Lytechinus pictus: one gene and its partner. The protein of the gene in region 1 interacts with the protein of each later gene in a pairwise test. Links are inferred from orthologs where the notes say so. Each region holds a gene or a part of one and is shown on either strand. Other genes may lie near its edges.

Region 1 (8,916 bases):
AATAGAGGGAAACGCATAACACGAAAAAAAAAAAAATTTCCAGTGCCCCTGGCGATCAGATAAGACATAGGAAGTGTTGCAAGAAAACATTTGCAATCAATCACAAATTTTCTGGGTCCTGTTGCATGGAAGTTAACTCTGCCATCCAATGGTACATTTAACTACATGTACATGTACATGTGAACAGCCAATCAAAATCAAGGATTCCATGCAAGTTACATGTACATGTACCATTATTGGATGGCAAATTTACCATAATGGTAACTTTCATGCAACAGAAACCCATTCAGCGCAACTCGGACCCATGCGAGTATGAAAAGCCAAATGTCCCAAAATCCCCACGTCGGAACGTTATGTCTTTTTAGGGATATAAAAACTTTAAAAAACGGGACCAATTCGTTAAAAACTGAATGGTTGGCAACCATGAACAGGGCCCTGGTGCAATTTCACAATCAATTGATCAATTTTGGGCTTTTTTTGGGCTGTAGCAAATGGTAACTTTGCCATACAATGGTAACTTGCATGGAATCTTTGATTTTGATTGGCTGCTGAACATCGTTACCATGGTAGTTACATACTTTTGTACCATTGGATGGCAATGGTAATCCAATGGTTTCTTCCCTGAAATCATTGATTCTCATTGGCTGATTAGCATTGGATTGAAAAGAGTAACTTTTATGCAACAGGGACCTGGATAACCTACACATGTACATGTAAGTCGCATCTTTTGAGACCACAGAAATATACATGAACATGTATTTGACTAAGCTATTTAATTCTGGTCTGAGATAATAATTTGATAATTTACATAACATGAAGGCAATTATTTGACTTAATATCAACTTCAACAGAGTGTACTGTATTCATGAAGGGTTTCACTTTATATGCTCAAGCTCAACTCATCAACATAAAAGTTCCCGATCTTTCCTTGAGTCAAGAACTACATGTACCGTACAGTATACTGTAATTGTGTGCAGATACAGAAACATAATTGAAATATTTTGCTGTCTGTTACTGTACGATGTACTTTACATGTACTTTGTAGCTTTGTCATATTATGTTTGTTTCTAAAACATTTTGCTAAAATCTTGAATATTAAAACTGACCTTATCACATGGAGAAACTTTCTTCTGGGAGATTAGATTTGTCACAGAAGTTTCAGAACAACAAGATTTCTTTTCCCATACATTTGATTTGGAATGTTTGTAATAATTTGGTATAAATACCAATAGTAATTTTTGAAGCAATGAATTGCTTGCCATCTGTGGATAAATTTTTTTCACCTTTGCCCCCCCCCCTTAGATTTTTCAAATATACACACCAGATATGTACAATACATCTTTCCTTCTTCGTTGATACTGTTAAATAACACTAGTCTAGTATATACAAACTCTATATGCATTATGTAGCATTGTAGATTATATCATTTTCTTCGATAGAAATACATTTACATGTATACAATACATTATACTGAAAAGTTCAAACTACCTTGTACTAATTTGCAGAGAAAGTGCTTAAAATGCATACTTAGAATGAGACAGCTGAAATCTGTCTGTTTGGAGGAGTTTTTATACATTTTTAAAACACTTGTTTACATTGTAAGTGGAGCCAAAGGAGTTCAGCGGAAGAGCCAATGTACAGTACTACAGAGACAGAAGCTTTTGGTCTTAGAATGTAAACACACATGTACTGTAATTGTTTCATTATGGATGACATTTTTGGATTTGAGTGTGTGTGTGTATGTGTGTATTTTGAGTCTGGGACCAACCTTTAACGTCACCATCCGAAAGACTTGACCAGGGCTCACACCTCTGCATCAATTTGTAACTTCTCCACATAGCTTGGATTACAGGCGCACGCCACAACACCCAGTACAATTTACTACAGTAGGCTTTACACTTCAATCATTTTTACGCAAAAGCAATCACTGGCCATACTTCAGAGTATAACAGTCTATCAACGCAAATACAGAAACAGATTATATGTACAGGTATGAATATCTTTTAAAGCAAGTCAGATAATTAGGTGAATGCTAAATGCAGGCCTTTAGAATCATTTTAGTATAATCCAACCTACATCGTACAGTAAAGCAAAAAAATATATAATAGGAATGCTACATGTATATAAGTTTGAAAAAGGACATTTTTTGTCATTTGTAGTGTTCTTTAATTTCAGGAGTTTGTGGTATTTCTTCAAGTGCCTACACAGTAAAAAAATATAGCACATTGTTTAAGCCTGTCACTGTAACAAGTTATTTAAACTTTTTTTTTTAAATTTAAACAGTTGTTTAAAAACTTTAAACAATAATTATAAGATTGATGGGCTTAAACAACGTGCTTGATTTTTAAACAGCGCTTTTACAGTTTAAGCACAGTACATTCTTGTACCAATTGGTAATAAATATAACACATACCAATCATCATTATAGGTCTACATGTACATGTAGATGTAGCATACTTCTGTATAAAATTTAAACATTATTCTGAATGATTTTTTGGAAAAGTTGTCAAAATCTAAAGCCCCCATCACACTTATTTGGAATCAGCAGGAATCAAGCAGAAGCTGGAAAGAAAAAAATATTCAAAAAATCTAGAAATTTTTGGGAGGAACTTCACAATTCTTCACACCAAACTGGAGTTGAAATTCAGTAAATTGACCAGGTGTATCATCATACACTAGTCAAAATGAACCGCAATGGAGTCAGATTGATAATTCGTGCTACGTTCTCGGACATTCTAGGGGCATTCTAAATATCCTGACTGCATTCTGAGTGCATTCGAAATATTTTTGTCATTTCTTTTGGCCGTCCCGAAGGTTTTGGTCATGTTCAAAACATTTGAGGAATATTTTCGAACGGTGTTCAAAGTAGATTTAAATGACCAACTGGTTGTCAAACAATAGTCCTTTCATTCAGGCCAATTCTGCTTGATTCGGAATAAGTGTGATGGGGGCTTAACATCACAAACATGCAACAAACAATATTTTTTTTTTCTGCTTCATTCATTTTTTTAAACTTCCTTTTCTAAATATTTTGTTTGGATCTCCCTTCAAAATTAATTAAATAGCAAGAATAATACATTTATTTGGCATAAACATTCTCATTTGATTAAAAGGCTGCTATCCATTTGAAAAACATAATTACCAATAGTTACACAAACCTGGCTATGCTCAGGTGCTGTTTGTTTTAAAACACTAACGTTATACTAGGGTGGTTGTTGGAATTGGGCATTCTGCATGTGCAGGGCCAGGGCCGGGCCTAGTATTGCAAATCACAGTCAGATGTTCACTACCTTTTGCACTATCAAATGGTTAGATTTGGATGGAGTTCTGCTCAGAAACATGAAACCCCAATTCCCCAATCATGACAGATTACTGGTCCGGGCCGAGCTGACCCTTATCACTTGCCTGGGATGATTGCATGCCGTGCCCGTCCCATTCGGCCGTCACGCTCCGAACAAAACAAGGCACGCAATTAAACGTGCGGGAGCGCGCCCAAATATGAATCCACTACATTTGCAATAGCACATTGTGAATTGTTTGGATGTAACTACATTGCAGCAGCGACAGATTTTGCCGTTTTAACCCAATAACACATGATTTTAACAATATCAAAATAGTCTGTGGTAAATTTAACATAAGTTGGTATGCAATACATCGATGCTTTCTTCTTGTCGCTTGAACTACTCGAGTGCAAATTTCTGTCAAATTATGTCAACAAGTTTTTTGCGTATCGGCAATAACAAACATGGCGTCATTAACGCACTACAGCTGAGCTATCTCTCAACTCCGGGACAAAAACAATGGCAATACTCACTCATCTCTGTCTTCACAAAGGCCTGAAGTTTCGTCATACTTGGAGCAATATATATCCGGGCTATAATTAAATGTTCCATCACGTTTTCGTATCGGTCTCCTTCTTCGTTGATTAAGAAAATGCCATTGAAAACAAGTAAAAGGTCGATGATTTGGACACTTGTGTTGCAAGAAATCCTGGCATTGTTGTGTACGAAACTCCTTCAGGTAACTGAAAAGTAAAGCGAAAAAACATCATGAAGACAACATGGAAATATTTTGAAACAATCATAGAATGAAGCAGAATGTATTAATCACAGTATTCGTATACTCACGTATAGTGAAAAGGTTTTTCTGGTTGAGCAGAAACGACTTGATTAGCCGAAGTCTTCTGCTGCTCGGACGGCATTTTGATAACTTTAGCTGTTATTGTACGTGCACGCCGCACGTACGCACATACGATGGGAATTTAGCCCGCGCGAAAACCTCTTCTTTGCAAAGCCAATCAGCTTCACTCTGACGTCAAAATCCTCAGCCAGTGAATGAAGTCACATGACCTGGGCTTCCCCCTGACGTCACGTATTTTGGCAAAACAGCTGAGCGATACACACGTGCATTTGTTTACCAAAACAAACGACAAATAACTTTTAATTGCGATTAATTCAAATCTCAAAAACTCTTGACCAAACACAAAATAAATAATTCTAAACATTTTATACTTGACTGGCCAAGGTTTCGCCAGGCAAAGGCAGTTTGATTACTCACAAACTCACGATATGGCACGCCACATATTATTATACAGGCCTGTCCTCGCGATCCAATTCCGGAGCCCGGGGGGGGGGGGGGGCACTCAGTATATAATGCATAGTGGGTATGTGCCGCGGAGGGGACCCCCATTTTTACACTCAAATTTCCGTTCCAAGGCATAGCATTTTTGTCTTATTGAGAAAAAGAACAAAGAAAGCCGCTCCAAGGCATAGCATTTCCTTCTTATCGAGAAAAAAGAAGAAAGAAATCAGCTCCAAAGCTTCGCATATTTTTCGTTACGCCGTTCCGGTCGCATTGATCTGCTACAATTTTGGTGAAAAGCGGCCGTAGAGCGCTTTTCGACCATCGCCTAAGCGCGAGCGCACCCGGCGTAGGCCGCGCTAGCTGCGTCATGCACGATTGCCCGTTCCATAGGGATGCATACGCACTCACAGAGATACGGAGATCCGTTCCGAGGACCCCCTTTTCACAAACATTTGTAGTTCCGAAGCCCGTTCCGAGGACCCTCCTTTTTACAATAAGCCCGCTCCAAGGCCCCCGTTTTTTGCCTCGCCCGCGGCACACCCCTACCACTTTTTTGGTCGAGTGCCCCCCCCCCGGGTTCCGGAGTCATTCTATAACTATAAACAAGACTACAGAAAATGGTGCTCGGAAATTCAAGGCTTTTACCAGCTGGAGTTTACAATTTTATCTTTTTAGAAGTTAAAAAATATCGATTTCTAACATTCAATTTCTTGCCGATGGTCGTTTTACTAATGATGCAAAATGTGTTCGTACATGTATGACTTTGGATTTAGTTTTAAATAATTTTGTTAGATAATTAGGTGATAGTACTGGTATTGTACTATCCGGCGGCATCCACAATTGTTTTATTTTTACGTGCTAACAAATCATTGCGATGTTATCAATCAATCGGATTTCTTCCAATGCTACCGAACGCTTCCAAACATGCTGATGAATGAACAGAGAAATCGATAGACACACAAAAAATGCCTATAGCGTGGTGGCAGTGCAATGCACTCTACCCCCCCCCCCCCCCATTCGCACCTATTCACCCGACAAATGGCAGTGATACAAAAGCACATTTCCTTTGAAAATGGTATGAGCCTGTAGCTAGTCAGGCATGAATCTTTTGTCTTTCAGTTTGTAAGAAAAATCCAGTTAAGCACATGCCTGACATAGTTTGCTCGCATGGTGCCTTCGAACAGCATGGTGAATTAGCTATTACTCCCTCTTTTCAAAGAACCCGAAATGATTGAGCCGGGTGATTGAGTGAATTGTTCACGAGCTAGAGAAGCGAGTATTTCGGTGGTTTGTACTTCATCGTCATCTTTCAAATGCTCTAAGAGTTTGATGTTGCATTGCTTCTGGAGAAGAAAAATACCAATTCAAAATGCCTGTGACTCGTCGTCAAAATCGTGGATTCTTCGACCGATACGATAGTCGGCGGGAACGCAGAGATCAAAGATTCGGCGGCGGTTTTGGGCGGGGTCCTACCGACACTTTTTCAATAACAGAAGAAGTCATGGCGTTGGAAGAAGAAAGTGCAGTCGGGGCAGAAGAGACATACGATACTGGTGCAACGACAGCAGTAGCTGCAGCCGTCTCCCCGACCACGGACGGTTCAGAGTCACCAGCAGTTTGTGGATACGAGGCTCAGTTCGAATCCCCGCTGGACAAGAAATATGTATGTCCTGTCTGTCTGTCGGCGCTCCGTGACCCTCTGCAAACGAAATGTGGGCACAGGTTTTGCAAAGTGTGTTTGACGCTGGCAAGTGGGTAAGAAGTTCCCTTCAAGTATTATATTCTATCTCAAGACTTACAAAAGGGCTTTTAAAAAGAAACTCGTACAGGGTAATTCCACTCAGATATTGTCGACTTTCGGAAAATGTATTGACACCAATGCCGGTAAGAAATTAAACGATGTTATGAAAATGCTTTGAACATTCGACTGGCATGGGTATTGCATTGAATACTGATACTCTATAACTTACGTAGTCATGGGAAAAGTCATATATGTTTCTTAAGGAACATAACCGTTATTTTTTTTCTTTGATTTTCTAAAAGTTTAATACTGGTCTCTACTTTTTCTAGACCGGGGAATGTGGCCAAATGCCCTCTGGATAAATTATTCTTTGATGTCCGCAGTGAAGTAAGTATATATTTTAGTCTTTATCCCCGACCCCCTTTCTCCTCCTCCTCGTCGCATTATAGCTTCTCATCCTCAACCCCCTTCGTCACCTTCTCATTCATCATCTTCTTCTTCATCATCTTCTTCTTCATTTTCTTCTTCTTCCTCATTTCCCAATTTACTTCTCCTCCTCCTTCTTCCTTCTTCTTCCTCCTCCTTCTCCTCCTCCTCCTTCTTCTAGCTTCTTCTTTTTCTTTTTCTTCTTCTTCTTCTTCTTCTTCTTCTTCCTTCTTCTTCTTCTTCTTCTTCTTTTTCCTTCTCATTCTTCTACCTCCTCCTCCTCCTTCTTCTTATTCTTCTTCTTCTCCTCCTCCTCCTCCTCCTCCCCTCCTCCTCCCCTCCTCCTCCCCTCCTCCTCCTCCTGATTCCAGTCACTTTATTACCATTTCTGTCCTTGTTAATTTAGGATCTTAAGAACATTTTTTCATATTCATGTTAATAAATCAAATCATGCACATGGTCGAACGCATAATTTTTTTCGGGGGAACAAGACATGTGAAAATATCTGAAGAACTCAAAAGCGAAATAGCAAAGCGACCGAGCTTGTCGTTAGGGTGCTTTTGCTCTTCCTAAAGTGAAATTAAAGGATTTCGTGTGCAATTTTGTTTATTTTGTTTTCAAACTTTTTGTGGAGCAACTTCCCCCTGCAACCCCCCCCCCCCTTCCGATGCATGTGGCCATGGTCCATTACAACCCTTACCATATCCTCCGCAAAAGAATGATAAATCCTGGTGGGAAGGGCACCGCCCTACAGTTCTTATTCACCTTTTATACTAAGAAACGGTTATCAAAGTATAACAAGTGGAATGCCTCTGGCCGTCTCACCTGCATCACGCGATTCAATATAGCAGCAGTGCTGATTTTGAAAACTACTATAACTCGCACAAGATGTTCAGTGATACTTGGTTACTCGTATTTCCACGTTTTATGAATTAGACCAATACACTTATAGAGATATGATGGCAATTCAACAAATACCCCCAACGTGGCCAAAGTTCTTTGACCTTACATGACCTTTGACCTTGATCATGTGACCTGAAACTCGCACAGGATGTTCAGTGATACTTGATTACTCTTATGTCCAAGTTTTATGAACTAGACCAACACACTTTCAAATTTATGGCTGTAATTCAACAAATACCCCAATTTGGCCAAAGTTCATTGACCCTAAATGACCTTTGACCTTGATCATGTGACCTGAAACTTGCACAGGATGTTCAGTAATACTTGATTACTATTATGTCCAAGTTTCATGAATCAGATCCATAAACTTTCAAAGTTATGATGGTAATTCAACAGATACCCCCAATTCGGCCAAAGTTCATTGACCCTAAATGACCTTTGACCTTGGTCATGTGTCGTGAAACTCATGCAGGATGTTCAGTGATACTTGATTAACCTTATGTATAAGTTTCATGAACTAGGTCCATATATTTTCTAATTTATGGTGACATTTCAAAAACTTAACCTTAGGTTAAGATTTTGATGTTGATTCCCCCAACATGGTCTAAGTTCATTGACCCTAAATGACCTTTGACCTTGGTCATGTGACATGAAACTCAGGCAGGATGTTCAGTAATACTTGATTAACCTTATGGCCAAGTTTCATGAACTAGGTCCATATACTTTCTAAGTTATGCTGTCATTTCAAAAACTTAACCTCAGGTTAAGATTTGGTGTTGACGCCGCCGTCGCCGTCGCCGCCGCCGCCGTCGCCGTCGGAAAAGCGGCGCCTATAGTCTCACTCTGCTATGCAGGTGAGACAAAAAATTGATGAGTGCACTCGTAAAATCCCATCCAAGGTCATCTGTGGATTACAGTGAACATGTCCTGTGCTGTGGTCTGAGGTCCGATGTTCGAATCCATCTACTAGCTAGCAAGACATTATAAATTTCCACCCTCAAAGTTTCTTAACTCATGTATTATAAAAGAAAGTTATAGCCAACGTATCCAGTGCCAAAAATATTATCATTATCCCCTAGTTTTTTTTAAATTTAATTCTTCAGGTGTTTGAAGATATTGCAATGAAGAGAGAGGTGTTATCATTGATAGTACTCTGCGCTAATGTAGACTGTGAATGGAAAGGAGAACTTCGATTATTGGAGGTTAGTTTGGGGTTTTATTTCAAAATTGCAAATATTGACAATTTTAGTTACATAAAATCA
Region 2 (8,916 bases), on another chromosome or scaffold:
CACAGTTACATACTACAGTTCATTCTAATGTACTGGCTAAGACTGAAGGCATAGGCCTTATAAGACTATTCCTTTGGAAAATAAAATAAATGCATGAAAAATCTACAACATATACGATCCTTTGTTATAACCTTCTCTTTTTTTTGTTTTTGCACATTTCTGTAACATTCATAATATCTACTTGAGTTGTGAATCTGATTATGTAAAAGGGTCAAGGTCAAGTCCTTATTCCAACCCCGACATCAAATTATATTTGAAGGCCTCTCTATGTTAGGCCTTTTGATTTATCTTTTAATATTAAAGGATCTTTGGGCTGGTACATAAAATGTTTTAATAAACCAAATAATAATCTTCTCAAATTTCAAAACAAATAAATTTGTTTCAGACTAATTATTCTGTACCAGGTTCCTAAGATATCATGTAGGTTCCCCCAAATCGTCAATGATTTAGATCACAGAAACTATAAGTATGCAATTAAAAAAATCCACTAAGTGGAAAATAACGCCAATATGCATGTATGAACTGAAAATGCCGTTTCGAATGGAAATACATAAAATAAATGTGAAAAATAGGTGAACACCCTTTACATGTACGTTTCAATCAAAATTTCAAATATATCGATTGATATAAGACATCCTTAACTCATCACTGCTAGGCTACATGTACATGTAGCAATATCAGCTCTTAAAACAGAAGATTTTCCCCAACTGAGAGTTTTGACCAATTTACAATAACACCATAAATAGATACCACCATTGAACTTTTTGCTGTTTAATATACATGTAGATTTGCAGTTATATAATAAACTATAACTGATTGAAGTATATGTTACAGGCCCCTGGGTGGAGAGTACCAAATGCATATAAAATGACTTGTCAACTGACACAATGGCAGTGGTTGAAATGGAATCATGTTCCTTTGTTTCATTCTAAAACTAATCCCTTACAAAACTATGAAAGAGTGACAAATTCAAACGTTATGTTTAAAATAGAAAATAAAATATCATACAAAATATGGAATGGGAGGTTTTCCTTCTCTAACTCCTCGTCAATAAAATGAGGGAAGGATTCAACTTGAATTGACAATATACCAATGTACATGTGATAATCATGTATTAAAAATAAAAAGCTGAATTAAACAATTTTCTAAATGCTAAATCTACACACATGTATCATTGAAACAAGAATTAACATAATTTGGCATGTCAAGATAACTTGTAAGCTACATCATACAAAATGAAATTATAGTGCTAAACAGCTGCTGTATATGATAAAGATGACAGCACTTTCAAACTCCTTTCCAAGAAATAAAATCAAATGCACATTTTCCCCCTTTAGGAAATACCCCACATTCCAATGTTGGTCCACTTCACAAACATTCTCCATTTTTTTTTCCAAATTGTCTAACAGTTTTCTATCTATGAGTTTGATGAATAATCTATGAAAATAGAATGCAAGGCTTCTCCCCAATGATGGAAATTAAGATAAATGACTATTTCAAATGTGTTCATTAAATTATTAAAACAAAATTTTGCAATCCCCTCATTTATTAAGATGAGTTCAAATTCCACACAAAAGCCACTTTTTGGCTTTTTAGCAACACTCAAGCTTCATGTTTTTAATTTAAACTTCATATTTCTCATAATTTCTGAAGAGTACATCAAAAGTTATGGACATTTCCAGTGAAATATTGACATAGTAGTCTTAAGAAGTAAATCAACCATTAGAAAATATTAAGTTGGTATGTGTTACTGGGACAGATTTATCTCCAATCTATCCAAAATAAAAACATTCAAATTTCAAGCAGATGTTAAGAAATGACATAAAATCTTGCCAAGCAGAGCAACAAATATTTCAAAACTGAATGGCATGCATTTGTGAAGTTCATTCACTAACTTAAAGGGGAATCCAACCCAAATAAAAACTTGTTTGTATAAGGAAAAGAAAAATCAGACAAGTTTATAGGTGAAAGTTTGAACAATATTGGACAAACAACAAGAAAGTTATGAATTTTTTAAAGTTGTAAATATTGGTAATCACTATACCCATGGAGACTTAAAATTGGCCGCATATGGGATGTCATAGTGATGTAAGGCAAGGACTACTCTTCCATGTACTCCAATACATATTATGGCTAAAATGTCATTTTTCCCAAAAGTTTTATTGCAAATTATATTTTTCTTTCATGAGGACATAAAACAATATACTTCCTGTGTTATATTTAGATTACTGCACCAGGGGAATGGGTACTTAGGAGAAAACCAAAAATCCCTGATAACAATACATGGCCTATGGGAAAGTTGTCCTTGCCCCTTGTCATACATTGTAATACCTAGTTGCCAATTTGAAATCTACATAGTATTAGTGACCTCAATTTTAAAGCAGCTATAACTTTCTTATTGCTTGTACGATTTCTTTCAAACTTTCACTATTCTGTTTAATTTATTTTTCTCCTTCCCAACACAACATTTTATGGCCAAGGCTGAATTCCCCTTTAATGGAAGACCCCTTTACTAGGTTTGCAAGGAAAGAAACATCAAAGCCTCTGCCTTAATCTTGAATCAATGAATTCTCTTCACATTGAATGACTACATGTAAGTTGTTGAAAGCGTAATCAATGTGTCAGTCCGCAAAACAGAAAAGAGGCCAACCGCTCAAGTCTGACTCACTAAAATGGAAATAATTAAAGAAATTACTTGCACTTGTCAGTCTGAACAACAAATAAAACATGTTCTCTGTCTTTCCACATTGGAAGTGACCTATTGTAGGCCCCATCTTACATAGAGTTGCAATTGATCTGGTCAAACATAACTATGGAAAGCCATCAACATCTAAAATGCATGTTTACTCGCAACAGTTTTTAGATATCACATTCATTGATTTCTTGAAAAATTCAGTGTGCTTCTCTTTGTTTACAAAGGACACTGTACAAATTCCTTGTAGACAGAAATTATGACATCAATGGATTTCCATACAGTTGAGTTAGATCGGATCAATTGTAACTATTGTAAGATGGGGCCCTGGAGTAATTTTCCTTTAAAATAATTCAATCAGGAAATGCATTTCACTAATAATTTCTACACTTGCAACATTATTGATTTGGTGCTTCACTATTCATAGATGAACCTTTACGTACTCCCAAAATGAACAACTTACTGAGACTTTTAAAAAACCAATTGTTTATTGTTGTTTAAGTTAAGTATTTTTCCTTTCAGGGGCCTGCTGCAGAAAGAGTTGCGTTTAAACGCAAGTCAAAATATCAAGCACAAGTCCCCATTGCGTGTGCTTCATTGGCTGAAAATCAAGATGCGACAGATTTTTTGAGTTGCGTTTGATTGCAACTCTTTCTGCAACAGGCCCCAGGAGACCTATTACCGGTATGCTGAGAGTAATTTCATATACCTAGAGCACATGATCAAACAGAGAAATTGCTAATTTTGCCAACTGAATGCCTGCCAATTTTGATATTGGGCATATCCTAAATCTTGGCAACTCAGCAGAAAGCATGAAAATCAATGATACAATTACCATCAGTCGTCTTTTGTATCAACTGATCATTACTGATAGAGCACACTATCAAATACAATGTAAACATGTATGTATGTGATCAACAATTTACAAATTGATTATACTTGATTAAATACAAAAACATCTATATTGATAAATGCTTTACACGTATGTATGAACTGCTTTGTATAGGAACAAAATCTATGCTTCAAACAAAGCATCTCGATAAGTTCAATTACCATGCTTTCAAAAAATATAGATATCAAACAAGATACTAAGTTTTAAAACTGAGAAGATAAGAAAACAAACTATGTATGAAAAGGTCAGAAAATATAACACCGTATCAGGCTCGAGAGAGTTCAAATCGGTCTAAGATTTTGCCATAATAATGCGATTCAAAATCCTTGCTTTCCGCTGGAGTATGCTTACATGTACACTGAATCAGTACTCTTCTATAAAGCGATCAAGTGGTTAACATACATTGATCGATTGTACAGAATTGGAGTGGACCTCGTAACTGCTCAGCGGTTTCACAAAGTGGAAGTCGGGAACGCCGCAGTGGGGGCATTGTATACTCCTTGAGTACTCGCTGAAGAAGTGCGTGCCGCGGGTGGGGTCGATGACTGGCTTGCCGCACCGCTTGCATCCCGCCCTCCCCGGGCAGCAGGGGTAGGCTGCGAAGATGTCGTAGGAGTAGAGCGTCCCCAGCTGGTGATGACTACCATCCCAACGCGACTTGCATATACGGCAGACGATCCGCTGAACACCCTCTAAGCACTGCATGCAGACAGCATTCAGGTACTGGGAGCTCTGGAGACCAACTTGTAGACCCTTGTTACCATCGCCCTGTCGTTGCGGAGTAAGATAGAATGTGCCATCGATCAGAGGATAGCGATCAAAGACGGGAAGCTTCCTCGTACACACGGAACATGGAATGACACGGGTGCCATGTATATTGAGAGTCGCGAATATGAAGGAGCGTATCTCCTCGGACTCCGGCTGACTGTCCTCTTCCATCTTGATGTGGTACGAGTTGAGCTTGTGTGCCGGCAACACCTGGTAGAAGGCAGACAGATCCAAACGTGGTAAGAAACCTCGTGTACCAGTTCCGCCACTGCCACTGCTATTTGAACTGCTGCCAGGAGGAGGCATGTTATCCGTAGTGGGATTCCAGTAGACATTGCTGCTGAAGAAGTTGGTGTTGAGGGCAGCTTGCATGTTGCCAGACCTCTCTCCCTGCGGTCGAAAGTCAGGTGGTCCACCGTGATGAAATTGTGGTGATCTGTTGGTAGGTTGGGCCTGCCTGTTGCCACCCTGTTGGTGATGGGCCATACTCAGTGGTGGCCCATGGTAGTCGTGATGAGATTGTGGCCCCTGATACTGCTGCTGTGGCATCGGAGATACAAAATGATGGGGTTGATTCTGGATTTTTCCGCCACTGCTTCCACCATGTTGCCGCTTATTCCAATTATCATGGCTCTGTGACTGTGTGCTGTGGCTCACCGATGTTGGGGTTACAGCGGATGCTGTTGAACTTGCAGTCGATGTTGCTGTTGTGGTAGGTGTTGCTGGGTGGCTAGAAGTTGCAGCTGTGGCAGCAGAAACGGTACTGGTAGGTGGATTCGAAACCACTGCTATCTGTGGTGGAAAACGTTGGTTTTTGCTGCCTGGTTGATAAACACTTGGACTTTGTGGTGGAGTGTGGTTGCTTTCGGTCGATGCTGTTGACGAAGCTGATGTGTGTCGCAGTCTACCGTGTCCATTTCCGTGGCCATTTCCATTCCCATTGCCATTTCCATTGCCATTTCCAGAACTTGAACTGATCGAATTAGCTCGGCCAATGGTTGGTTTCTCATTGGACTTCTTGCGGCGTCGATGTCTACGTTGCTGGGCATTCTCAGCAGCAGCACCCTCGGGGAGCTTCGGCGGTATCCATTCCAGGTCCTTCCGTAGATGACCCTTGCCACACTTGCACGAGCATGCTTTCCACGCCAAGTCGTAGCCTTTCTTTGTCCACAAATTCTGGCGACGCTGCTTTTCCGACCAGCTTCTCGCCCGACCAGACGATCGCAGATATGTTAGAACTTCATCCTCCCATATATCAAAGCAAATCTTATGCATGTATTTCCCCTGTGTGCACTCCGGATTGTTGCAGACAACTTTTTGACAGTCATCCGGATCGTCCGTATGCACAGATTCGCCTTCAGTGCAACTCAACGGAACACAACATGGCTCCTCGTGTTCATTGTTGTTTACTTCGCCATCACCATCGCCAGCATCTTGCTCATCCAGCTGTTCTTCTACTTGCTGGCGAAATTGGTCGGCTCTATGCTGTTTATCATCGCGAGAGAACGGCATGGCTGTCCGACAAAACATAGACGATTACATTTTACACAGAATGGTTGTAACGGGGTATTGATAAATCCCAAAATTCAGTCCAATTTATGATGTAAACAAATGCACATGAGGTTCGTCTCACGCTTTCGAGATGATTGTTTGGATATTTGGGGTCCGCTGGAGGCGTGTCTCGGTGCCCAGATCGTCTTTTAGCATATTTGGTTCAAGGTCTGTCATTGGACCAAGCCTCGACAGTGTAAATTATCAGGCTCGGTGATTGGACCAAGATGATGTAATTGCAAATTTGCATAGAGCTGCGAGTAAACAACTCGGGCTTATCTTTTGCGCACGACATTGTGGTTTTTGCATTGACGGGTTTACCGTAACTGTGCCAAGTGCTCAGCGTTCAGGGATCAACTCGTTTGTTTTGATTCTGTAAATTTGTCAATCATACTGTATTCCTTCAAACCATGTACCAGGGAAGTGTGGTTCTCTGTGTATTATGATAAAATAGGACATTGTAAGTACGAAGCTATAGCGGCAGTGAATGTAATTAGTAATTTAATAAGGGTTTGGGGGCATTCACTCGGGACCAATTAGCATACAACTGTATACACCGTTGTTTCCGGGACATTGCAATGCATTACGTAATATTAGATAATGATCGATTGACGCGCAAACTCCTCTTCATCTTTAATATGATTGATACGAACACAATATTCTAGTTTTGGCTGGTGAGGTATTCAAGCAGCTATATAGCATGAAAAATAAAGATTGATGAGAGCAAAAGTTTAGTAGAGACAGTAGAAAAAAGAAGGGGGGGGGGTGCGCGTATGGATGAAGTAATATAAAAAGAGAATTAGGGAACGGACAAGGGCGCGGCACCACACCATCCTCTGGGATTTTTCAAGTATATAGGGCGAAAAATAAGTGGGAAAAAGAGCAAAAAGGAGAGTCCGTGGCCATGTAACTCTATAATACTCCTATATTCAATTAATGAAAAAAAATATGACGTCAAATTTTTAGGACGTTTGCCCCCTATCAAGGAATCACCCCCCCCCCCCCCAAAAAAAAAGAACCTCGGGCGGCTGCTTGAAAAGATTACATTATCAGGGAGTGAAAGCGGAGAAAAGCAGAAAAGATCAAGGGTGGATGAAGAGAGATTGTTGATACTCAATTCATTGAAACATATTCTTAGGATATAAAAGTAAGAGTAATTGTCCCTTTTCTTGCGTTTACTTTTTCATCCAAGTTTCCTTTTTGTTACCAAAAGTGTCAACTACCAATATATTTCTCCTGCAAAAGAAAGCAGTTCGCACATGTACTGGGTCTGGTTACAGAGACCATACAAATCCCTTATTTGTAAAGCTGAAGTGTTTGAAGGTAGAAGATATAAATTTTTTGCAAACTGCCTTATTTATGTTCCGTTTTAATGCCAATATGCTGCCTGACTCATTTTCTTCAATGTTTCAGCCTAACAGCACTGTCCATTCATATAGCACAAGACAGTCATCGAACATACATTTGGTTAATCCCCGCACCGCATTAGCTCATAAATCAATCAGACACCGTGGTTCAGATGTTTGGAATTCTCTTCCACATAATATTCGAAATTTGAAAACCTCACATTCTTTTAAATTGGCTGTAAAGCACAATCTCCTTTCAAAATTACAGAATGTGTAAACTGCTAGTAACGTATACATGTAAGTAATTAAATCTTCTTTCTTTCTCTTATTCGTAACTGAAGATTAAGAATTTAACTTTGTTGAATTACTCTACCATATATTCATAACAATTTAAAACTTAATTGTTATATCTCGGCAGTCTATCACTTTTACATTCTTCTCTTTCTTTCCTCTCTTCCTTATTCTTACATTTTTATTTTGTTTTCTTGGATGCAAAACCAGTTTAAAGGTGCTTAAACCAATCAAGCTTTTAGCTTATGTTGCAACACCTTTGTATGTTCATTATTTACTTGTGTTTTCATATATTTATACATTATCTGTGTATTCTTTTACATTGTATATTGTGAACATGCATGAATAAATAAATAAATAAATAAATAAATAAATAAATATAGATCTATCTCTTCTTGTCCTTTCTTTCTTTCTTTCTTTCTTTCCTTCCTTCCTTCCTTCTTTCTTTCTTTCTTTCTTTCCTTCGATCCTTCTTTCTTTCTTTCATTTTCTTTTAAAAGATAAAATTCCCCATTTATTCACTACTCATTTGCATTTTTTCTAATTACGCGTATGTTTTCCCTATGAGTTTTTAATGATTGGACTGATTATATCGGCAGATATAGTCAGAGATGCTTTGATAGAAACAGAGTTGTTTGTAATCAGTTCTTTTTGTGCTCACACCAATATTCTGTTGGCTGGTTTGCACACTTTTTTTTTTTGGGGGGGGGGGGAGGTGGGTCTCCCACTCTAAATTGCAGGGATTTAAAATAAATCCAGGTGGTCTGTAGTTAGGTATACCAATCGTATTATAGATTTAATTTTAATCCTAAAAATATTTTAAAGTTAGTTAGGAATTTTAATTTAAATCCTTTAAAAATGAAGTTTAGGATTAAAAATAATTCCAGAATTCGATTGATCCCTAACTATTATCTACGTGGATTTACTTTAAATCCCTACAATTTAGTGTGTAATTTCATTGGATCATTATATTGCCTTTTGATGCTTGGCTGGAAATTGATTAAAAGAAATAGTATATAAAGAAAACAAAGCAAAAGGAACTCTCTTCTAGACGTCCTCAAGTCAAACCTCTATCTTTTGCCCTTATAATCACGCCCATTTTAAAAGCTGATTTCATGAAACACAGTCAGTTTCAGGGGGTTAATAACACTCTTCTCACATAACACAGTATATGACCCTTTTCACTTCTTATTGCTTCTTTTCCCTCTTCATCAAAATTTACCCTTCTCCAGTTTATGCATGCATGCATCCATCCACCCACCGGCCAACCGTCCGTCCGTTCCCCCTTCCACCCACTCCATCCATCCTTCCATCCACTCACCCACCCACCCATCCATCCATCCACCCATCCATCCATCCAACCAACCAACCATCCA

Evidence for each region.
Region 2: the proteins of RING finger protein unkempt homolog (region 1) and headcase protein homolog interact in binary tests that used the Drosophila melanogaster proteins (3 or more experiments, as listed by UniProt). The link is inferred for Lytechinus pictus from reciprocal best matches to the Drosophila melanogaster genes unk and heca.

What each region holds. Positions count from the first base shown.
Region 1 is NC_087254.1:22,869,231-22,878,146, reverse strand, and holds the start of RING finger protein unkempt homolog, read right to left. Parts: upstream 4,311-8,916; 5' UTR 4,202-4,310; coding exon 4,128-4,201; intron 4,025-4,127; coding exon 3,815-4,024; intron 1-3,814. Other genes in the region: TNF receptor-associated factor 6-like, read left to right, coding at 5,954-6,339, 6,655-6,712, 8,758-8,856. UniProt on the Drosophila melanogaster protein: Essential for late larval/early pupal development.
Region 2 is NC_087248.1:21,938,554-21,947,469, reverse strand, and holds the start of headcase protein homolog, read right to left. Parts: upstream 6,055-8,916; 5' UTR 5,883-6,054; coding exon 3,978-5,882; 3' UTR 1-3,977. UniProt on the Drosophila melanogaster protein: Required for imaginal cell differentiation, may be involved in hormonal responsiveness during metamorphosis. Involved in an inhibitory signaling mechanism to determine the number of cells that will form unicellular sprouts in the trachea.